Linked DNA regions of Sus scrofa. The main gene of each other region encodes a partner of the protein of the gene in region 2 in a complex. Links are inferred from orthologs where the notes say so. Each region holds a gene or a part of one and is shown on either strand. Other genes may lie near its edges. The genes, in order: ZCCHC7 and PAPD5.

Region 1 (12,102 bases), on a different chromosome or scaffold from region 2:
TTATGTCCTTTATGGCCAAAGAAAATCCCAGATCGTGCATTGAATTCATTATGTATCATGTCTCTTTCACTGTCATTTAGTACAGAACAGTTCCTCAGTCTTTGTGTTTTATGACACTGACATTTTTGAAGAGTTCAAGTCAGGTATTTTGTAGAATGTCTCTCAATTTGTTTTTGTCTCATAGTCTCTTCAGGATTATATTCAGGTTATGCACTTTGGGTAGGAGTACCACAGAAGTGATGTGGTGTTCTTCCCAGTGAATCATGTCTCACTTTTTTTTTAAGTGAAAGCCCCTCTTTATCCCCCTCCACTTCTATTCCCTTCCACTGAAGTCAGTAACCACTGTAATTGATTGGCATCCACCAAGTATTTTCTCTATGCATTTATATACACATAGATCTAGACACAGTCACCACAGATCCTTTAAAACTATAACAGAAATGAGAATATAATACATCTATTGCTCTACAATTTGCCTTTTTTCCCCAATTAACCGTATGTCTTGGAGATCTTTCTACATCAGTACATACAGATTCATTTCATTCTTTTTTTTTTTCTTTTTTAGTCTTTTTGCCTTTTTTAGGGCTGATCCTGTGGCGTATGGAGGTTCCCAGGTTAGGAGTCTAATTGGAGCTGTAGCTGCCGGCCTACGCCAGAGCCACAGCAATGCGGGATCCAAGCCACATCTGTGACCTACACCCCAGCTCATGGCAACGCCAGATCCTTAACCCACTGAACGAGGCCAGGGATTGAACCTGCAACCTCATGGTTCCTAGTCGGATTCGATAACCACTGAGTCACTACAGGAACTCTCATTCCTTTAAAAGTAGCAGTTTAAAAAAATAGTATAAAAAATAGGACAGCTGTATCCTTCATGATTTCATACCTTATTGATGAATATGTTGTTTCCTTTTACTAGCCATCACAATCTTTGCACCTACATATCTCACTCACAGTTTTGATGGAAATTGCCAACTAGCTCCCCTAAAAGGCTCTTCCAATTTGTATTTCCCCCTACAGTATATGAGGTCATTTTCATTCTTTTGATCATGAGTGATGTTGCACACCTAGTTCACAGCCTTTTGGATTTCTTCTGCGAATTGCCTGCTGGTGTTCTTTGCAGTTAGACTGGACTGTTGTTTAACCATCTGGCTTGGCTGAGCCTGGGCGGGAGCGTGGGGGGGGGCGGGGAACCATTCAGAGCAGGAAGGGGATGATGAGCATGCGCAGGGGTGCGTCGTCTCAGGGCGCCTTCAGGCGGCGGGTGCGGTGCTTGCCCTTGGCACAGATGGTCACCTGGATGGGCCACTGGGAGACACTGTCATGACGGCAAAGCCTCACTTACTTGGCTTTCCCCTCTGCTGACAGAGGTGCCTCCGTTTCCCCTAAGCAGCCAGCTTCTCCCTCCTTCACCACAGATGCATAACACTGTTCATACTGCACCCAGTCTGTCATTTGGCAAACATTCCATGCTGAACCCACTCATTGCCCAAGCGATCTCTGTGAGTCTGCCACCTCCTCCCCGTTGGGATAAGCACTGGAGAGACAGGAGCAGGCTCATCATGGTTTCCACCCTCAAGGAGCTCTGTTTTGAAAGGCAGCTTTGGGCATAGAAAAGAGCATAGGTTTTGGATTCAGACAAGCCTCGAGTTTGAATCTCAGCAGCGTGATTTAGAGCCAGTCACATGACCTCACCAGGCTGCAATTTCCACACTAGTGAAATGGAGTAATAGTCCCTTACAACATATTTCAGAGACCATATACCCAACATGGCTAGCAAGGAGATGTTACATAGGCTTTCAGTGAATGAATAGTAATGGAAAGGCAACTGGTAAAATGATTAGTTAGTTCTCAGAGGTTCTAGGTACTACTAATACACCAAACTGAACAAAAGAAAGGAAGGAGCAATGGAAAGATAAGGATGAGTCACTTTGCCAGATCCTGCTACACTATGGCCTCCATCTTGCCTGTCCTTTGCAGCAAGTTCTGCTTCATCCTGGCTCAGCTGCTCGCTGTTAATGTAGTACCGCCACTGCCCTGGGGAAAGCAGGTGCTTCCTTTCTCAAATAAATGGACTCTTTAGACCATTCTCTGTAAGAGAGGCCCCTGGAGCCTTGTGCATGCCTCCATATGTAATCTCAAGAGGTGTGGACCAGAGACGGCATAAGGCAGGAAGAGAAATACTGTTGGGGCGGGGGGTGGGGGGGAGACTCAGAGGTGTGTGTGTGTGTGTGTGTGTGTGTGTGTGTGTGTGTGTGTGTGTGTGTGTGTGTGTGTGTCTGTGTCTTGGGGAGAGACTCAGAGACCTGGATTACCTACACATTCTGCCTCTGCTAGGTGACTCTTGGCAAGTCTCTTCGTGTGTGTGTGTGTGTGTGAGTGAGAGAGAGAGAGAGAGAGAGAGAGAGACCTGGATTACCTACACATTCTGCCTCTGCTAGGTGACTCTTGGCAAGTCTCTTCCCTTACTAGCTTCAGTTTCCCCATCGCAACAGATTTAATCTCATGAATTCTAAGAGCCATTTAAATGAGACCACACCGGAGTTCCTGTCATGGCACAGTGGTTAACGAATCCGACTAGGAACCATGAGGTTGCGGGTTCGATCCCTGCCCTTGCTCAGTGGGTTAACGATCCGGTGTTGCTGTGACCTGTGGTGTAGGTTGCAGATGCGGCTCGGATCCTGCGTTGCTGTGGCTGTGGTGTAGTCCGGTGGTTACAGCTCCGATTCGACCCCTAGCCTGGGAACCTCCATATGCCATTGGAGTGGCCCAAGAAATAGCAAAAAGACAAAAAAATAAATAAATAAATGAGAACACACCATGTAAAGGCAGGGTGTGTGTGTGTGTATATTTACTTGTAGCATCCTCCTTAGTCAGAAATCTCTGTATCCTTGGACCCCTGCAGCTCTTTATGCCATCTTAATATCATGGAGCACCACACTGCATTCTGGTTATTTCGGGTCATGTCATGGTTTCCTACTGAACTGACAGAAGGTGGATCCACGTTTGGTTCTGGTTTCCTAGAGCCTCAGGGAGTTAGCTGTCCTTCCTTTCTTTAACAACTTTATTGAGTGCTTGCTGTCTGCCAAACACTATGTTAGCTGAAGAAGATACAGAGACAAAATGTCAGAGTTCCCTGTGGCTCAGTGGGTTAAGGACCTGGGATTGTCACTGCTCGGCTGTGGCTCAGGTTGCTGCTGTAGTGTGGGTTCAACCTCTGGCTCTGGAACTTTTGCATGCTATTGGCACGTGCACCACCACCCCCCAAAAAAACAAAAGACAAAATGTCAAAGCTTTTTCCTTCAGGGAGTTCACAATCCAGCTGAGTCAAACACAATGTAATTGCCTTGATGGAAGTTTGTCCAAATTGTAGGGGAGCTCAGGGGAAAGAACGCTTTTTCTGTCTGGCTGAGTTGGAAGGTTTCGCTGATGACCTGGGCTTGAGCAGGGTAGGGTGAAGGACAGGGAGAACTTTACCAGCAACAGGAATGCCCTCTGTAAAGGCACAGATATGATAGAGCATAGTGTGTTGGGGCAACTGCTCAGCATTCAGCATGGTGATGAACAGGTAGGCAGATGTCAGCTTATGAAGTGTTCCTTATGCCATCCAAAGGACTCTTGGTTTTATGACATAATCTGTTGGAGGTGACCAAAGCATTTAAGCACAGGAACTAGTAAATCTTCGTTGAATGTAGGAGTAATAGTGGGAGGGCTGGGCACAGAATTAGAATTTCTTACACGTGTGGCCTTAGGCGAGCTACTTAACCTCTGAATCTACTTCCCTTTTTAAAAATTCTCAACCTCAAAGTTTTGTTAAAATTTAAGTTTACATATAGTACACTTACAGGAGTAAGCTTGGCATTTGATAAAAGCTCAATATATTATTATTGTTGTTGTTGTTTGGCTGAGCCCACAGCATGTGGAAATTCCCGGGCCAGGGATCAAACCCACATCACAGCAGCTACCTGAGCTGCTGCAGTGACAATGCTGAATCCTTAACCCACTGCACCACAAGGAACTCCACAATATACTATTTTTTAAATTTTTTTTTTTTTTTGGTCTTTTTAGTGCTGTACCCACAACATATGGAAGTTCCCAGGCTAGGGTTCGAAAGAGAGCTACAGCTGCTGGCCTACACCACACCCACAGCAACTCAGGATCAGAGCCTTGTTTGTGACCTATATCACAGCTCATGGCAACGGCAGATCCTTAACCCACTGAGTGAGGCCAGGGATCAAATCTATGTCCTCATGGATACTAGTGGGGTTTGTTTCCACTGAGCCACAATGGGAACTCCCACGTAATATATATTTTAAAGGTAACATTTGTTGTACATAATACATATAACCTAACCATCTAGTAATTTCTGTGGCTCATTTCTTAGCCTGTTTCTTCCTCTGCAAAATTTTACCATTGGTCCTCCAATTTTACCATTTCACTGTACCCTGTCTTCCTTCCTAGCACTTACTATGTTAACTAAAATTTCTAATTTCCCAGTCAAACTCTTATTAAACTATATGCAAATCACCTGCATTCTGCTTTTCCAGGTAGACTCTAGATCTATGAGACCAGAGACTTTAAAAATTTACCACTACATCCACAAACTGATAGGACTGCCTAGCTCTTAACAGACGTTCAATAAGTGTTGGCAAAAATAATCATTAGAGGGGTTCCCGTTGTAGCGCAGTGGTTAACGAATCTGACTAGGAACCATGAGGTTGTGGGTTCGTTCCCTGGCCTTGCTCAGTGGGTTAAGGATCCAGCGTTGCCGTGAGCTGTGGTGTGGGTTGCAGACTCGGCTCGTTGCTGTGGCTCTGGCATAGGCTGGTGGCTGCGGCTCCGTTTGAAACCCTAGCCTGGGAACCTCCATATGCAGTGGGAGCAGCTCAAGAAAAAGCAAAAAGACAAAAAAAAAAAAAAAAAAAAAAAAAAGTCGTTAGAGTTCCTGATGTGGTGCATAGTGTTAAGGATCTAGCCTTGTCTCTGAGGTGGCTAGGGTTTTTGGTGAGGCTAGGGTTTGACCCCAGGCCTGGTGCACTGGGTTATGAATTTGTGCACTGCTGCAGCTGTGGCTCGGATTGGATTGCTGACCTGGGACCTTCCATGTGCCACAGGTGCTGCCACACACACAAAAAATCAATGTCAAGCTTATCTTTCAAGACTATTGTCAGAGTTCTCTGGTGGGCTTGTAGTTAAGGATCCAGCATTATCATGGCTGTGGCTAGGGTTTGATACCTGGCTGGGAACTTTTGCATCCCATGGGTGTGGCCAATCTCCCCTGCCCCCATCTTAAAACTCAAGACTGTTGCCAAGGGCCCACGAATTAATAAAATATTTCCTTATTTGTAAAGTTGTACAGTTATTAAAATATGGTGTGAGAAGAGAAACCAAGCCAGAGGCTCCCAGCACAATCCTCTAGAGGTTTCCAAGGGACCAGTATCGACTTCAGTGTTTAGCATGAGTGCAGCTTTTCAAGGTGCACAAAGACTTAAATCTGTTGCCTTGTATTCTAGGAAAAATAAGAGGCGGAAGCGCCCCAGCGTAAACTAGGTTCAACTTCAACCTTGAGATGTAAGTGACCTGCATAAGGTCACCTAGCTCAAGAAAGAAGTATCTAGAAGGCAACCTTTCTCAAAGAGGCTTCTCCCTTGCTGAGGTTCTCTACGTCCTCCAGCCATGCCGCCAGCTGCACCTGCCCCTTAGCCCTTACCTGGGTCTCGTGGCTCCCGTGCCACGTGGCATAAGGAAGGTGTCTCCTCCTCCCCCAGGTCAGGGAGGAGGCGGAGCCCAAGCTAAACCCCGCCCCGGAGCATCATGGGAGACGTAGTTTTTCTCGCGGGCACAAAAAGGCGCTAGCTTTCTCCGGTTTGGCTCGGTAAGCAGCATTTTTTCCGTGCAAGTCATTCAAACAAGGTGTTTCCCTATTACAGGTGCAGCCTAGACACTTCTGAAAGAAGTCGTGGCGGGGAAGGAGCAGAGCAAGAAAGGCAAACCGAAAAGACTCTCAGCTGGGAAGGGAAGGGGGAGTTTATAGTTGTTACGCATGCGCAAGAAGGCCCGCAGGGTGGGCGGGGACGGAAGACAACTCCTGGGAGAAGTGTTGTCCCCGGAAGTGCCTTCCCTCCTCCCGGGTCGGCGCGGACGCGGTTTCCTTACCTCATCTGTCCTCGCCCCTCCCCGTCCCTTTACGCGTTTTGGTTCCTGGTTGGTGCTTCCTGGTCGCAGCCGCGGCAGTGAGTATGTGTGACGGACCCCGAGCCGTCCACGGGCCGGGGACCCCTGCCTGCCCTCCGCCTCGCCCGCAGGGCCGTGGAACTAGCGCGTGTCCCCTCGCTGGCCTCCGCGTCTCCCGCCTGTCCCTTACTTGTGGCGGTACCCGGCTCCGCTCGTGGCCTCTCAGTCGAGCTCTGTCCCACGCGACTCAGCTGACTGGCTGAGGTGTCTGCTTCTCCTCCCTTCAAGGCCTGAGACTGTGGTTCAGAAAGAGCTTGGGCGCCCATGGCCTCGATGGGGATGGTGTTACTGCCTGCTTTACCCCCACTACCCTCTGAGAGTCCCCTGTCTTTTAGGGAAGCCGGTCAGTCATTTAAACCCGAAGGGAGCTCGGCCCTTGAGGATCCAACAGTCCTGGGCCAACTCCAGCCTCAGCTGTCAGAAGCAGCAGCTCTGGGGGCCAGAAAAATTTGGGCAGATGGCCCTCTTCCCCCATGTAAAACAAGGAGACTTGTTCCTTGATTCCTTTTATCCCTTACATCCAGGGAACCAGCAGTTAACTTCAGCTCTAACAGCTGCGGGTATGTGTAGTAGGGAAACTGGCTGAGTGAGAGCAGGCCGAGTTACAGCCGCGACTCCACTACCGACTCGCGCTGATGACTCTAGAAGTCTTCTCTTGAGGTTGAATTTACCTTTTTTTCAGGTTGCAGGGTTGAATTAGGAGATCTTTTAGGCTCTTTGAATAAATAAGCTTCTTAGATCCCGTTTCTGTCTGTATAAAATGAGAGCGTTCAATTGAATGACTTCGAGGTCCATTCCAAAACTATTGACTCTGTGTTTTGAATATTTAGCTTGTGTGTATATTTTCAGTTTTGTGATTTTGAGCGCAGTGCACTATCGTTTTCAGGAGAATCTGGGGGTGGGGAATGAACTAAGGAAGAAGTGGAAATGAGGATTGTAAAATAGCTCCAAGGGTAAGAGACTGCAGCAAAAGGAAAAGGGGCCTGTGGAAAAGATGAAGTAAGTGTTTTGAGATAGGATTAGTTATCCTATGAAGACTTTATGTCAGAAACAGCTGGATTTTTTCTGAATAAATTTAGCATTATTTTCTCCCACAAAAATCTTGTATCTGTCTGACTGTGTTTGTGTGAGTGTGTGCCTATTGTTTGTCACATTTGGATTCTCTATCCCATTAGATTTACCTCAAAGCGAAAGTCATATTTGAAGAGTGGACAGAAGTTTTAACACAAGTCAGTAGTGTTTCAGATCTCACTGTCAGAATAGCTCACTAAGAGTGAATCAGAAATTTTAAGTTGAAATAAAACTTAGTCTTTTAATCATGTTCTAATGAAAACTGGACTGAAAATCAAGCTGTGAGTTTGATTTAAATCACTTTGAGATGGATAACTATCTCATCAAAAGGAAACATTTAAGCTTAAACTTCTTTCAAGAGAAATAAAAGCGAAAGGTCTGGAATGATCAGTTGGTAGACTGTGAGCAGAAATACTGGCTTTAAAGATTGTATAGTAAAATCTGAGAGCTTAAATAAATCTTAAATTGTCTGGATTAAAAAAGTTGAGTGAATGAATAGTGTTCTCACTTTGCATGGTGAGAGCCTTTACAGTTATTCTTTATAGCTGTTTCATATTTGTTAAACCATTTTAATTCCTTAGAGAAGTTTTTTTTCCCAGATTGATATTTTAAGTTCTTAGATAAGGGCCATCTTTTTTTGGTCATGGCATTGCCATAGTCTTTGAGTACCAACTTGGGAGGCTCCTGGATGGTAAACTGACAAATTCAAATGTATGCTTTTCTTTCCAGTTAAAATTCTTTCATAGTTTTTAAACTCCACAGGCAAGTAAAATGGATATTGTGAGGTTAATTTACGTCTTAGAACCAGTGCAAATATAGCTTTGAAGGAAGGTTTTCTTTTAAATCTTTATTTGAAATTGTTGATTTTTTTTTTTTTTTTTTTTTTTTTTTTTTTTTTTTTAATCTTAGTGAACACTTGGCTGAGAGTCAGGGAAATGTGAGTCAGTTTTAGCTGACTACAACTTTGGATAAGCCTCCCTATCTTTTTTAGAGCTCAGTTTCCTTCTATGTAAGTTGAGAAGACTGTAGGTGATGATCGGAAAGGTCTCTTCCGGATTTAAAATTTTGAGACTCTCATAGAGACTTTATGTTAACTAGTTAAGTATGCTTGATAATTGTGTACAATGATCAAAAAGCTGAGAAGTCCTTCTGAATCAAGACAGAGTTATATACATATATGTATTTTCATATTTGTCCTCTGAGTATACATTAAAAAAAGTAAATTAAATGCGTTTGAATGCAATTAAAGTAGTAACACAAACCAGAACAGCCTCAGGCAAGCCTTAACTCTGGCATACATAAGCCAAATAAATAGAAGAGCAAGTTATGCTGAGCACAATTTTCAAGTACAGAAGGTACAAAATCCTCTTAAAGGCCATAGGGGCTAAATTGTTAAATTCATTTTTCTACATTTCAGGGAAAGAGATAAACCCTTAGACCCAAGGAAGTCTGTTTTTATTTTATTTCTGTAGTTTATTTTTGGCATACATTCACAGGTGCGCCTATGGCTCTATTCTTAATCCCTTTCCTTTGGGATGGCTCCAAGAGTAGTACAAATTTGTAACTCTGTAATTTAGCTCTTTAATTTTTTCTCTGCTGCACCGGAATTATGTTTTATCTTAAGTCCACACTGGATCCTCAGGATGGATCCACTGAGGATTTTGAAGGAAGCATAATTCCTTTGACTTCTTTTAGAATTAATTTACCTACTAAATAAAAAAGAACGGATTCGTCTTTTATTTGAATTTCTCTGAGGCTAACATTTCAATATAAACTGATAAATGCTATGAGCATTATTATTCAGACAGCCACATTCAACTTGTGTCACAACAACAGCATAGCTGTTGCTAAAGGACTGTGCAGGAAGGGAACAGGTCTATTGTACCTTTCTGAAGGAAAAAAAGGCATTTGTAGTTGGCTCCCCCCTCCCCAGATATAATTGACACATAACATTGTGTAAATTTAAGGTGTTTAACACATGATGATTTGTTACATGTATATATATTGAAATGATTACTGCTTTAAGGTTAGTTAACACATCCATTACCTCCCATCTTTACCTCTGTGTGTGTGTGTGTATGTGGTTAGAACATTTAAGATTTAGTCTCTTAGCAGATTTCAAATATACAATACAGTATTGTTAACTCAGAACTTAAATCATTTTTTTCCCCAAGCTTTATTGAGACATAAGTGACATATAACACTGTATAAGTTTAAAGTGTACAACAAAGTTTGGTTTCTTTATTTTTATAAAACAGGAAACTCCAGCATGAGCGTAGTATATTTTTGGCTCTTATTCATTTGACTCTTGGAATCAGCAGGTTCTATCATTAAAAGTACCCTGACATTTGGGGCAGACAATTGGTAATTTAGTCTTCCTAAATTTAGTCTATCTAAATAGTAGAGTAGAAAGAATAAATTGTCATTGTTGTTGTTTTCCAGACTGTCCCTGATTTTTTTTTTTGACAAAAATGAGGTTTTTGTCCCTTTTCCAGAGCTTTCATTTTGATCAATATTCTGTTAGTACCTAATTGAAACATCTGTGTAGATTTTTGGTTGATGATATGAGAATATTTGGAATAGTTGGAGACAACTATGATATTCACCTCATAATTTTCGTATTTTACGGACATATTAGATTTATTAGAGCTGAAGAACAAATGCTTGATGATATTATCCATTTCTTTATTCATTCATTAATTCAGCAGACATTTATAGAGGCCCTGCTAAATGCCAGTTATTCTGTTCAACTTTGGGGATCCATTGTTTAACAAAGCGCATATAGTTCTTTCCCTCCTGGGATATGTGATCTGTGCTTGTGGGAGATTTACGTTGCATTAGTAATTAGAAGTGTGAATGTTTTGAAATGTAAAGAGCTGTGGAAACCTATAAAGGGTTGACAGTTTAGTTTGGTGGGTCAAGGAGAGCTTCCCTGAGGAAGTGATATTTAAACTGTGTTGAATGATGAGCAGGATTTAATAGGCTCACAGTAGGAAAGTAAAGTGCTCTTGAAGCTGAATTTTACCTCAGTTTTAAGTCTTTAGTTTGTATTTCATACACATCTTTATAGCTAACAGAGAAATAAACTAGGTTTATCCAATATTTTTATGTTCCTTTGGGTCAGAGATCAGAAGGCCATGAGATTCATTTTTTAATTGGGAATAAAAATATACACCCAAACAGTAAATATGATCATTGTGTCCTTTTGTGAATTTTAGTCATAATTGAGGTGATATTCCTCAACCATGTGGGAGTGCATGTGAGGTGGGAGAATGTATCTGAAAAGATGAGGTACAGAACCAGAACCAGGGAAAAGATGAAGAATGGATGGAATAGTAGTGAGAATGACCTAAAATATTTTTGTGTGGTTTTTTGTTTTTGTTTTTGTTTTTTTAACATTTTGGAGAAAAAGTGGTGTCTGAAAGAGTGGGAACTTGTTTTTCCTTTCTGACATACTTGTGACCTTTCCATTAGTAACTATAACTCAGTTTGTTGGTAGTGATTGTCATTTGGGAGAGGTGGGCATTATTAGAGTGGTCATAACAATTAGAAATTCTTAAAAAATGATATTCCTCTAAGAGAAAAATATTTTAATTTGTGATTGAGCATCAATAAGTGATGGCCTTCACAGAAGTTAGCTCTAAGAGGTGATTTGTTATGTACTAAACAGGCATGATCTGACCTGTTAAAATACATTCTTTGTATGACTTTCTATTTTACAGCCTCGAGATTACTGACCTTCCATGATGTTTGGTGGTTTTGAAACTATAGAAGCATATGAAGATGACCTTTATCGTGAAGAGTCATCTAGTGAACTAAGTGTCGATAGTGAGGTGGAATTTCAGCTCTACAGTCAAGTTCATTATGCCCAAGATCTTGATAATGTCATCAGGGAGGAGGAACATGAAGAGAATAACTCTGGGAATTCTGAATCATTTGGTAGTAAACCAAATCAGAAGAACTTAATTATCCTTTCAGATAGTGAGGTCATCCAGCTATCAGATGGGTCAGAGGTCATCACTCTGTCTGATGAAGATAGTATTTATAAATGTAAAAGAAAGAATTTTAGAGACCAGGCAAAAGAAAAGACCCAAGGTCCTCCTGCTTCTCTTCATTCTAATGAGCTGGCAGATCAGAAATGCAAGAGGGATGTTGAGAAGCCTCAACCTGGAGAGAGATCGGGTGCAGTCCAAGAAGTCATGATTATAGAGGTCAGTTCAAGTGAAGAGGAAGAGAGCACCATTTCAGAAAGTGATAACGTGGAAAGCTGGATGCTGCTGGGATGCGAAGTTGATGATAAAGATGATGATATCCTTCTCAATCTTGTGGGATGTGAAAAGTCTCTTAATGAAGGTTAGTATCATATTGGCCATTTTGAAAAGTAGTATCGTCTTTCATAAGGAAGGCTGCTTTTTCTAGACAAAAGACCAATAGGGTCTGCTCCATTTAATTCTTCACCTTTTGGTCATGTTTTTTGGCTTGTTTCTCATGAGACTGTCTCACCAACGGCTTCTTTAATGGTGGTCTGTCTGAACATCAGAAAGAGTCTATCACAATATCAGAGACACTCTGCTTCTACTGTAAGCAGATTCATAACTGCTTCTTGCTGTTTGGCTAGAGCCAGTTCTGAACGTGAAATCTTAGTTCCCCCCTCTCTCTGCTTGGTACCACAGGTGAGTACTCCATCCATCTCTGACAGTGGCCCTGTGTGCTCATTTGGCCAACTTTGTTGGTTCTGCCTCTTCCTAAGTGATTTGCCTACCCAGGAAGTACCATATAGCAAGCATGGGGAATGCC
Region 2 (12,073 bases):
TCTGTATCTTGATTTTGGTGGTGGTTACAGAAATCTACATGTGAAAATTGCACAGAACTAAACACACAAACATAAACTATACAAATGAGTGCGTGTTATACAGGTAAAATCTGAATACGGCTGTGGACTATAACAATGTCAATTTCCTGGTTGCGGTATTAAACTACAGTTATATAAGATGTTATCACTGCACGAAACTAGGTGAAAGGAACATGGGATGTTTCTGTACTATTTTCTGCGAATGCATTTCAAAATAAAAAGTTAAAATTAGATAAAGCTATACATGAGGTTAATTAACGAATACGAAAGATTTAACACAGCATATGGTAAAAAGGCTCCATGAGTACTTTTATTATATAGAGCACTTTTAATAAGTCAACAAATTTGGAAACACAGACTTCTGTATACGATTCAAACCATCTCAGCAGAAAGCATGACTGGAGCTCAAGTTCAGTTACCAGATACTACACGAAATCTCTCACACACGGCAAGACGCTTCTTTTTCAAATCTGAAACCCTCCAAGTGATTAAGTAGCTTGCACAGCAAAAGCGTCTCCACATTCAGTTTTTCCCCCAAATCTCTAATTCAAATTTCCACATAGCCCAAAGCCCTTAGTATACAAAAGCCTCTAATATCATCAAGTAACTTACAGGACAGAAATAAATGTATCACTTGCTGTTTGGGTTCAAATTAATGAAAAGCCTAGCCCAAGGCCATCCTCAACTTCAATAAATATTCTCTTAGAAAAAAGTAATTTCGTGTCATGTTAAAAACGGTAAAAAGTGAATTTAAAGCCTTTTTGTCATTCTGTAGCAGCTGGGTCCCTAACAAATACTCTGAGGGTTAGAAAGAACATTCTATCAGCCATCCCCTGAATTCCTGAAGCAGGCTGAGCTGTCCAGCCAGCTCTGCAGCAGAGCCAAAATAGGAGTCTCAGACTAGGTGCTGGGAACTGGATCCTAATTCTTCAAAAAAGCATCCTCTCCGGCCTATAACCCCTTCAGGATTACTCCATACCTGTGTGTATAAATGACTAATACACACAGTCTCCAGTGCAGTGGGTGTGATCCTGAAATAGTTTCCTCACTAAATGTTATTTTAAAGGATTCCACAGAAGGAAAAATAGAAAGCTGAGTAAAATCATACAACAGCTTGCGCTTCCACCTTCCATACAGAAAAGTGGCGTAAATTTTTCTCAGCTTTAACAGGTATAAGAATATCGAACCCACAACTATCTGACCAGTCCAATATCTGCAAGGGAGCCCCTGAATTTTCTTGCCACGGACCCTCTTTGGAGTCCTAACACTAGGATTTACTGGCCAGGGTTTCACGTAAGAGGTTACAATGTCAGGCCATCTACCACACCAGGACCAGAAATGTTCTCACACACTCTCCCTCCTCCTCCTCCCTGACCTTAGCTTTTTCTAGTAGCCACGCTTCCTTTCCTGGGGGGTCGGGGGGAACAACAACTAAATCTTCTCTGTGACCCCAGGGCAGACTCTAAAAAGCCCTAGTCATTGTTTCCTTTTGCCCTCCAACACCTAAAAACTTAATAGATGCTGAAAACAATTCCACATGTTAAAATGCCAGTGATTCTGACACTGTGACAGCAGTTCACTGTTGCACATTTTATAGACAGAAGGTGAGTCCTGGCATGGAAGCAGCTTAGTTGAACACAGTATACTAGATTTGGGGAAATTCTCAAATATGAATTACACTGTCGGTGCAGAACCTACACTGCAGAAAACCCAACGTCTTCTTGAAAGCATGTCTCAGCATCCAAACGCAGTAAACTTCAACAACCTGAAGGTCCTGGTTCACTGAAGAAGTACCGTGGGCTAACGCTTACAAATGCACAGAAATTACGCTTACAGCAAACTGTAGAAATATGCCTCTGAATTATTTCATGTTAATCTGCCTGGAGCCCAGTTAGTTAGTTAGTCAGAGCCCAGCACTAACACCAATCCCACTGATCATACTGCGTAGACATAGGCAGAAAGAGGCCACAATGCCAATGCTGCAGGAGAGGGTCAACATCCTGGATTTACTGTGACATAGTGTCATACAGAAGGAAGGACACTGCCCCACGGCAGTAAGGACAATGTTATGTCAGCCCCCAAATTTCCATTCCCTGTTAGATAGTTCCATCTAAACAGCACTGCACCCTTTGCTTCAAACCAACAGGCCTCACTCTTACTTTCAGTAATAACCCAAACATTTCCCCAGTCACTCAAATTCAAAGCTTAGGGTGATTATTAAATCTATGACGGGAGTCAGAATCTTTCCTGTCCTTAACTTACAGCACTTCTCACGTTAATTCTTTCCCTTTCCCATCCCCATCACCCCAGTTCGAGAAATTATTTCTTAAACCCAAGTTTCCCGGTATGGACTTCTTGATGTCCCATAGTCAAAGTCATACTCCAAAATGTTATTTGAACAAGTCATTCCAGCCTTGAAAAACTTTCTACAGATCTGGCAGTGCAGCCAACACAAGCCTACCCTTATGAGCTTGGACAAGCCCCAAGCACCTTCCTTAAGAAGTTTTTAGACACCAGGGCTCAGGCCCAATGACTCTGAGGCTCCCAAATTTCCCATGTTTGTTACTTTTTTGTCATCTCTCTCCATGGTGATCAACAATTAAACCTTTTTTTTTTCTTTTTAGGGCCACACCCGCAGCATATGGAAGCCGGGCTAGGGGTCAGATCAGAGCTGCAGCTGCTGGCATACACAACCACAGCCACAGCAACACGGGATCCAAACCACATCTTTGATCTATGCCACAGCTGGCAGCAATGCCGGATTCTTAACCCACGGAGCAAGGCCAGGCCTCGTGGATACTAGCTGGGTTCTTAACCTGCTGAGCCACAATGAGAACTACCGACAATGAAATCTCTGAAAAGGGCTTAAAGTTCATTTTCATGGACAACCAGAAAGAGCAGGTAGACTTCTTCCTACACCATAGCCAGCACAGAAAGGGAATGAATCCCAAGAAATAGAATAAGTGAAAGCAACTTTAGGGAGTTCCCTTGTGGTGCAGTAAGTTAAGGATCGGCATTATCACTGCAGTGGCTTGGGTAGCTGCTGCCATGTAGATTCGACTCCTGGCCCAGGAACTTCCACATGCCATGGGCACAGCCAAAAAAAAGAACAAACAAAAATACAGAAAACAAAGACACTTTATAAAGAGAAAATAGGAGTTCCCGTCGTGGTGCAGTGGAAAAAAATGCGACTAGGCATGAGGTTGCAGGTTCAATCCCTGGCCTCACTCAGTGGGTTGAGGATTCAGCGTTTCAGTGAGCTGTAGTGTAGGTCGCAGACGCAACTCGGATCTGGTGTTGCTGTGGCTGTGGTGTAGGCCAGCAGCTGTAGCTCCGATTAGACTCCTAGCCTGGGAACCTCCATATGCCGCTGGTGCGGCCCTAAAAAGACAAAAGACAAAAAAAAAGAAAGAAAGAAAAAAGAAAAGCAAACAAACTCCCTGGATCTGTAGGCACAAGACAAGAATGCTGAGATAGTAAACTCAGGTGAGTTTCAACTTTGAAAGAGGACGATGAAGCCTTCACGATGAAATCCAAACATCGTACTCTACGTTTACAAACCCTCCATCTTACCTTAATTAATAATAAAAATTGGGAGTTCCCGTCGTGGCGCAGTGGTTAACGAATCCGACTAGGAACCATGAGGTTGCGGGTTCGGTCCCTGCCATTGCTCAGTGGGTTAACGATCCGGCGTTGCCATGAGCTGTGGTGTAGGTTGCAGACGTGGCTCAGATCCCGCGTTGCTGTGGCTCTGGTGTAGGCCGGTGGCTACAGCTCCGATTCAACCCATAGCCTGGGAACCTCCATATGCCATGGGAGCGGCCCAAGAAATAGCAACAACAACAAAAGACAAAAAGACAATAAAATAAAATAAAAATTTAAAAATTCCCTTTATTTTTATTTATCTATTTTTATGGCTATACCCGTGGCATATGGAAGTTCCTGGGCCAGAGACGAAATCTCAGCCACAGCTGCGACCTAAGCCACAGCTGCAGCAACACCGGATCCTTGAACCCACTGCACTGGGCTGGGGGATCAAGCCCCGCGCTTCTGCAGCGACCTGAGGGGCTACAGTCAGATTCTTAACCCACTGTGCCACAGTGGGAACTCCAAAATTTCTTAGAAAGAAATTTCATTGCACCTAGTGACCTAGTGGGTAAGAGAAAACATATACATAAAAGGAAAATTAAACATAAGCAAGCTCTACCAAGAGCATGAATCAAGTCCGGTAAGATTTCAAAGGAGGAACCAAAAAAACAAGAGCCTGGGCAACACGGTCAGGATTGTGAGCTGTATCTTGGTGTGTTCAGGGAGTAAGTCAACCAGTCTGGCCAAAGCAGAGAACACTGGGAGATCAAAGATATGAGAGTGTACACAGCTGTCCTACAGATTCGGTCTACTGTTCTTGGGCTCTTTCTTTCTCTCCCTGTCTGGACAGTCAGAGGCCCAGGGACCACCACAATTTGTTAACCTATTAGGTAAGTGTCAGTCACATCCCAAGAATAGCTTTACTATATTTAATCTCCGAAGAGCATAACATTGAGGTGCACTCTGAATTCAGGCTTCTTTAAATACTTGTATTAAAAAGCAGCAAAACTTTTGTAACAGCCAAGCAATAAGGATCTGTAAATCAAAACAAGAATTTTTTACGGACGGAGACACTCTTACAAAAACACTCTTAGGAACTGCTTAATAAAATGTAAGAACTTTAACTGCTGACATCCTCTAAAGAGGGAGGCAAAAGAATGGAAAGTCTGATGAAGTGATAAGCAGTTTTAAGGCAGGTTTACAACCAGTTTTTAAACAGTAATCTCTCTGGGAAATGCAAATTCCCCTCCTTAATCCCTTTGAGACCAATATAATATGTGAATTAGAAACAAGAACATCTTGCTTCTACCTAAGTTCAAATATGAGCCTTTTCTAGTATCCTTGACAATAAACAGCAAGTAGAGAGACAAGAATTTCTAATTTATCAAAAAGAGAGGTAGCCAGCATTTGGGGTTTAGAACATATCTTTGCTACACACATACACAGAAGCTTCAGGAAAACGAAATTAGGGAACTTCGAGGTTTTTAGTTGACAGTGATTACTTAACTGGAGCGTATTCCTAGGAAATGAAACTACCAGAACCCCTTAACATCAATTTGCTTGTCACTAAACCACAGGTTTATGCTTCATCTTGGAAATGTGAACAGGGTGAAACCATGAGCCTTTTATTAAAACAAGATGACCATGGAGAGCGCCCTTGAAGCTTTAGCACAGAGGGCTCAACCCTAAAAGGTTCCCCTCTGGAAAGTGAGGACAGGTTTGATATGTACCCCCGTGCCAGTCCTAGAACTCTTCACGGCATCTTCCATAAAAGGTGGGAGTTGTAATAGTAGCGTATAGCAGACACCAGCCCACTAGAAGCAGATGGAACCCACCAACTCATTTTACCCAGACCTTCAAAAAGGTACACAGAACGGTCTCTGCCTGCCAAATCTAAGAAAAGGTTTCACAGGGGACCACTGATGGTGATTTCATTTGCCTAGTGTGGCCCACAATGTAAAAGAGGATCTGGAAAGTGAAAATGTTAAAGCTCATTCTTTAATACTCAAAGGCAAACACACACACACACACACACACACACACACACACACACAGGCCCAAAGCTTTGTTTTACAAAATAAAAAAAAAGAAGACTGTAATCTATTCCAGCACAGGGGCTCTTCCAGGAGGGAAATCTAGCTGGAAATATCCCTGCTTCTGTACATAATTCACTAGGGGTCAGGTAAGATTCCATTTTGTAACAGCTGAACTTTAAACAGAAAGTCATTAGTGGTGCAACATTCACTCATTAGCATAAAGTTACCCCCTAGAATGAAAAGCACTGGCTGTCTCTGCCAGGATGACAACTTTACAGTGAGAAACTGGGGCCAAGGACCATGAACTCCTAGAAAGTTCTATCCGCCTTAGAAGGAAAGCTCACCATCTCCACCAGCCTAAACTTAACTGTCACTCCATTCCTCACTCCCCACAGAGCAAGGCATCGCTAATACAGGAATTGTTGAAAAAAATAAAAATAAATAAAATAAAAGGATGGGCCAAAGGGTCAATAGCAGGCGAAGCCTTTCAGGGCTGACACGATTCCTGTTTGGGATTGGGGGAGGGGGAGGAGCTTTCTGGATGTTTCTATTCTTGGCAAGGAAAGCACCTCCAGGTCCTGTACCGTCAAAAGGCGCTAACACAGGAATGTTCTCAGGGAATGAATGATTTGCCTGTGCTAAGCGACTTCATTCTGGGGTGTGATGATGGGGAGCACGATGGGAAGGGCTAGAGAGAATAGAGAGAAGGTGTGTTTGACGGGGGGGGGGGGGGGGGATGGGAGGAAAAAGTGGATGGATAAGGGGGGTCGGAGAAGACCTGGATGGTTAAGAGGGAGGATGTGGATGACTAAGGGAGGAGAGCAGAGAGTGTAGATGGCTGAGGGGACGTCCAGAAAAGGCGTGGAGCTGAGGGGGAGGGGGATGAGGTGTGGACCGCTAAGGAAGGTTGGGAGGAGGTGTGGATGGCGGAGGGATGAGAGATGGCCATCAGCTCCCAGAGGGGGAGAAACGAAGGCAGGCCGACGGCGGGGGTGGGGGGGTGGCCTCACCCAGACTCCCCCCCCAAAAAAACCCCTTCTGTGGGCGTGTGCCCGGCTGCGCGTGTGCAAGGGCCCAGGCCACCAGGCCGTAGGGCCATCACTCACCCCACGACTCCCTGGTTGTAGTTCCTCCGCTTCCACGGGGTCCCGCTGTACACGCCCCCGCTGCCCTCCGCCCGGCCGCCCCCCGCGGCCCGCCCTCCGCTGGGCTGCAGCAGGCTGTAGTTGAGTCCGTAGGTGCTGGCCTTGTTGTCGCGCTTCCTCTTGTTGCTGCTGCCCGAGGCCGGGTCGGCGGGCTCCGCTGCGGGGAGGGCGGCCGAGGAGTGCGGGGACGAGGACGCCGAGGGGGACGGGGACGCCGAGGGGCCCGTGGTAGCCCGGCGAGCCCAGGCCGCGGGCTGGTGGTGGTTGTTGTTGTTGTTGGTCGTCTCTAGGGGCAGGAAGTCCCGCTGCTCCGCCGGCTGCGCGTGGCCGCCCAGCAGGCGCTCCCCGGAGCGGTACATGCCGGCCGGGGCCGAGGCCGGGGCCGCGCCGCCCGGGCTGCCGGTGCTACTGCCGCTCCCGCCGGTGGCCGTGCTGCTGCTGCCGCCGCCGCCGCTCGCGCCGCCGCTGCTGTGACAGTGGTGGTTGAAGTAGAGGTTCCTCAGTCCCTGGGTCGTCTCCCAGATCTGCATCCACAGACTGTTGGACGGTCCGAGCTGCTCTGGCTGGAACCAGGCGATCCTCGGATCCATCAAACGGCGGCGGCCGTTGCCCCCGCCCCTCCCGGCTGCCCGCAGGGCCGCCGCCGCCGCCGCCGCCGCCGCGCCTTAGGCGCACGCCTGGCCTCGGCGGCTGCTGCTGCTGCTGCTGCTGCCGCTGCTGCTCCTGCTGCTCCCGGCCCGCCGCGGGCGGCGGGGTGGCGCAGGGAGCCCGGCCGGCGCCGGCGGCGTAGCTCCCGCCCTCGGGGGCTCCGCGGGCCCTCCCCCCCTCCCTCCGCCCCTCTGCCGAGCCCCTGTCACCGGGGTCCCCGTGCAAATGGCGGCGGCAGCAGCGGCTCTGGCAAAGGGCGAGCGGCGGCGGCGGCGGCAGCGGCGGCGGCGGCAGGACGCGCCTGCTCCGTAGCGTCCTCGCTCCTCCGGCCCCAGGGCGGGGCCTCTGCCGGCTCCGCCCCGATCGCTCCGCCCCCCCGCCCCCGCCCCTCCCTCCCGCGCTCGCCCCGCCCCCGCCGCGCCGCGCGGCCAGCCCTGCCCGGGAGGCCGCGCCGTGCGTCACAGAGGCCGCTGGGCCCCGCGGCTAGGGCCGCAACCGCCCGGCCCAACCGTCCCGGTGCTGTCTGTGGAGGGTGTCGCACATACCTGGGCGTCCGGGTGCCCCCTGACGCGCGCGCTGCCTCCGGTCTCAGTTTCCCGACCCCAGATACGGGGCGAGGCTGGACGGAGGTGGCCACCAGCTACGTAGGAAATAGATTGTGGGAGGTGCCACCCCGCCCACTGTCCCTTCCCCCACTCTGCAGCCGCGGGACACCCCTCCCCGCCCCGGGCTTCTCGGACAGCTCCCGAGATCTCCGCTCTAAGCTACGTTCCAGATGGGAGAAAATGTGCCCCCTCCCCACCCGAGCATGTGCCCAGCACCCTCCCTGAACGCAGGCTGCTCTGATTGCTCTGTTGTGGGGCCGCCCTGCTATTCCCTGCGCCCGCCTGGCCGCGCCCTGGCCAGCGTTGGGAGCCCGCAGGCCTTGGCAGAGGGTCCCCCCACCCGACTTCGAGACTGGAGAAACTTGTGCCCACCTACACGGCTGGACGCACTTCTTCGTAGAGTGCGTAAGCCGTGAGCTCAAAACCACCATCACGTTCCCCAAACCCACTTTACACAGACTTGCGCGCATAAGCACGCACAGACGCACGAGCTCCGAAGCGAGTAAAGAAACCTCACTTGAGCTGAGGTGCACCAGCAACCATGAAAAACCCTTCTTAGTTCAGATTAAAGAAAACCCAAAACCTTTTAGGCCTCATTTGAGGACCATGTTGTTGGCATCAGAAGAGATTTTCCACAAACGGGTCATGTGCACACCTTCCCCATCCCTGCGATAGAAGACGAGGAAAAGGGAATTTTAAGTATTTTAAATCATCAGGAGAAAAAAGGAAAATAAGTGGGCACGTTTCACCTGTGCTCTATATGGTTAGTCCAAAGTCCAGAAGAAGTCCTTAACACCCAGTTTTGACCTATTTGGGGAGCTCAGTATCCTGGAAAGATTTTTTTTTTCCAGAGATGAAAAATTAACAAATTTCTTGCTGAGAGAATAGCATAGGTATAAATATTGGAAAACACATCAAAAACCCTAAAGAATTTTGGTTCATTCTATTTGTTGCTTTACTGTATACCGGTATTAAACCTTTTCTTAGAATGGAATTTTCTGTGTACTGAGAATTACACAGCCAGAAAAATGACTGGAGATTTTTATGCTGTTAACACTGGCAAATTTAACAAAAATAAAGCATTGTATAGAAATAAGTTCATTTTCACTTTAAATTTGTTCTAAAATTCAAGTGAGAAAAATGCAAAGCTGAAAAAAGTAAACATTATCAAGGTCCCACTATCTAAAAATAACCATCACGAAGACTTTGTAAAACCCTCTTTGAAAAATCTCTCCATGCATATATGTGTCAAGACAGTCCTCCTTATTTTTACTTGTTTACTTATTTATTTTAAATCTTATTCAGGGGTTTAAAATATTTTTTCAGGAGTTCCCTTGTTGGCTCAACGGTTAACGAACCCGACTAGGATCCATGCAGATGCGGGTTAGATCCCTGGCCTCGCTGAGTGGGTTGGGGATCCTGTGTTGCCATGAGCTCTGGTGTAGGTCGAAGTTGTAGCTTGGATTCCGAGTTTCTGTGGCTATGGTGTAGGCCAGCAGCTACAGCTCCAATTTGACCCCTACCTGGGAACATCCATATGCCTTGAGTGTGGCCCTAAAAAGGGAAAAAAAAATTTTTTTTTCAGATGTCCAAAAGCACATTGAATGTCAATGATATCTACAACCAAAAAAAAAAAAAAAAATAGTATTCAGAATTAGCAATAGTACATGCCAGAAATTAACATTTGTTGTTATATTTGAGGCAAACCTTAAGAATTGAGGAAGTATTGGAGTTCCCGTCATGGCTCAGTGGTTAAGAATCCGATTAGGAACCATGAGGTTGCGGGTTCAATCCCTGGCTTTGCTTAGTGGGTTAAGGATCCAGCATTGCCGTGAGCTGTGGTGTAGGTCGCAGATGCAGCTCAGATCTGGCATTGCTGTGGTTCTGGTGTAGACCAGCGGCTACATCTCTGATGAGACCCCTAGCCTGAGAACATCCATATGCCACGAGTGTGGCCCTGGAAAAAGACAAAAAAAAAAAAAAAAAAAAAAAAAAGAATTGAGAAAGTATTAGCAAAGTATCAAATGAGTTAATATACATAAAATTACTTTGTAAAATATGGGCTGAAAGGCAAGACATCGCTGTTTTTATTCACCTGCAAGCAATGCTAACTGGTTAGCCATGTAACACATCCATGTTTCAAGGCATTCATTCAGAAAATCTTGGTTGAATGTCTAGCATCCTTGCAGAACTGAGTGAATTGTTTTAGAGAAGATAAATAAGCAGCCAGGGCCTTTGGCTGCCTTCCATACATTTTCTGTCTGGTTAGGGAGGTTAAAGAAAACAAAACAAAAAACAGGGGGAGTTCCCCTCGTGGCTCAGCATAAATAAATCTGACTGGCATCCATAAGAACACAGGTTTGATCCCTGGCCTCACTCAGTGGGTTAAGGATCCAGTGTGGCCATGAGCTGTGATGTAGGTCGCAGATGTGGCTCAGATCCCAAGTTGCTGTGGTTGTGGTGTAGGCCAGCAGCTACAGCTCCAATTTGACCCCTAGCTGGAAACCTCCATATGCCACAGGTGCGGCCCTAAAAAGACAACAAACAAAAACAAAAACAAAAACTGGTAAATATTTAAAGTTAAATTACAGTTCATTTAGTTAATTCAACAAATATGTCTTGAGCCATTATTATGTGCCAGAAGCTGTATTACAATGATGAACAATACTAATGAGGTCCCTGCCTTTGAGAACCTTATGTTTTAGTGAGTAGGGCTAGCATTTAAGGTCAGACAGTGGCTAAGTGCTATGAAGAGAAAGAAAGCAAGCTAAAAGGATAGTGACAGTATGCTATTTTTAGATGGGCTAATCAGGGAAGGCTGCCCTGAGGAAGTGATATTTGAGCAGGGACTCAAGTGAAGGAGTGGACCATGACCATCTAGGGAGTGATCCATCAAACAGAGGGAATAGCAAGTGCAAAGGCCCTGAGGCAGCAATGTTCTTTGTGTGCACAAAGATAAGGCAATGTAATGTTGAACGTGTATCATGGTATAGAATCATAAAGTTATCTCTTCTGGAAGTTTCCTCAAAAATTATCCAGTCTAAAGTAAGAGTAGGGAATTTTAAACACACAAAAAATGTATTCACTTTCCCCAACAAATCTGCAATGTTTTGTCTCAAAGTAATCTACTGCATCCAAAGAGAAAGACTACACTAATTTCAATAATAAATTTTGATTACTCAGCCTTTTCATTTTGCTATTTAGAATATTGCATTCTTTAAAACCACCTTCATTAAATTGATGAGGCAAAAACACAGCTATCAAAAACCGAGACATTTTCCTGCATAATGTCCTATTCATTCTCAGTACTCTTGTTCTGGGGTGGAGGGAAATATTGAGTTGAGGATCTCAGCTTGAAAGATTTATAGAAACACCAAGATTCTGCAGAGTAAAAACTGAGTAGAGAAATGAGAATCAAGTTACCCAAGAATCAATTTAAATGTGATTTCATTGATTTATTAACTTGAAAAAAAAGGGGGAATTGCACATACTACTACATGGTATTATTAATAATTGTCATTATAATTAAATCTTAGTGTGTGATTATATTACCCCACTCCAGAGTTAACAAAACCATGAATAATAGCCATATGGTTATAGTTATGAGAATCTTCTGTATTTATGAAATGAAGCATTTGCTCCAGGTATTAGTAATCTTGGGTTTATGCACCATTTACAACTTTTCCCTTTTTTTGCACAAAGTATGCACCATTGTACCATGTTATTTCCAACTTTATGAATACAAAGAGGATTCCAAGTAGGGAAATAAATTTCCATGAGACTTCAAAACCTGTATCTTGTTCTGTACAGTTAAAATTTCTTCCATTCCTAACTTGTAGGGGAAAAAAATTGCTCAAATTGTGTGTGTTCTGGCATCTTTAGTGAGTGTGTATGGATATGCATGTGTGTGTGTGTATACGTGTGTGTTTAAAGACAATAGTGTAATTTCTGTACTGTAAAATTCACTCATTTTAGGGAGTTCCCGTCATGACTCAGCGGTAACAAACCTGAC

The links.
Region 1: PAPD5 (region 2) and ZCCHC7 share a complex: the UniProt entries of both Homo sapiens proteins name them as parts of the nucleolar TRAMP-like complex. The link is inferred for Sus scrofa from reciprocal best matches to the Homo sapiens genes TENT4B and ZCCHC7.

Annotation. Positions count from the first base shown.
Region 1 is NC_010443.5:237,814,597-237,826,698, forward strand, and holds the start of ZCCHC7 (zinc finger CCHC domain-containing protein 7), read left to right. Parts: upstream 1-6,078; 5' UTR 6,079-6,233; exon of another isoform or gene 6,234-6,237; intron 6,238-6,260; exon of another isoform or gene 6,261-6,794; intron 6,795-11,027; 5' UTR 11,028-11,048; coding exon 11,049-11,658; intron 11,659-12,102.
Region 2 is NC_010448.4:34,661,682-34,673,754, forward strand, and holds the start of PAPD5 (non-canonical poly(A) RNA polymerase PAPD5), read right to left. Parts: upstream 7,618-12,073; 5' UTR 7,399-7,617; coding exon 6,770-7,398; intron 1-6,769. UniProt on the Homo sapiens protein: Terminal nucleotidyltransferase that catalyzes preferentially the transfer of ATP and GTP on RNA 3' poly(A) tail creating a heterogeneous 3' poly(A) tail leading to mRNAs stabilization by protecting mRNAs from active deadenylation.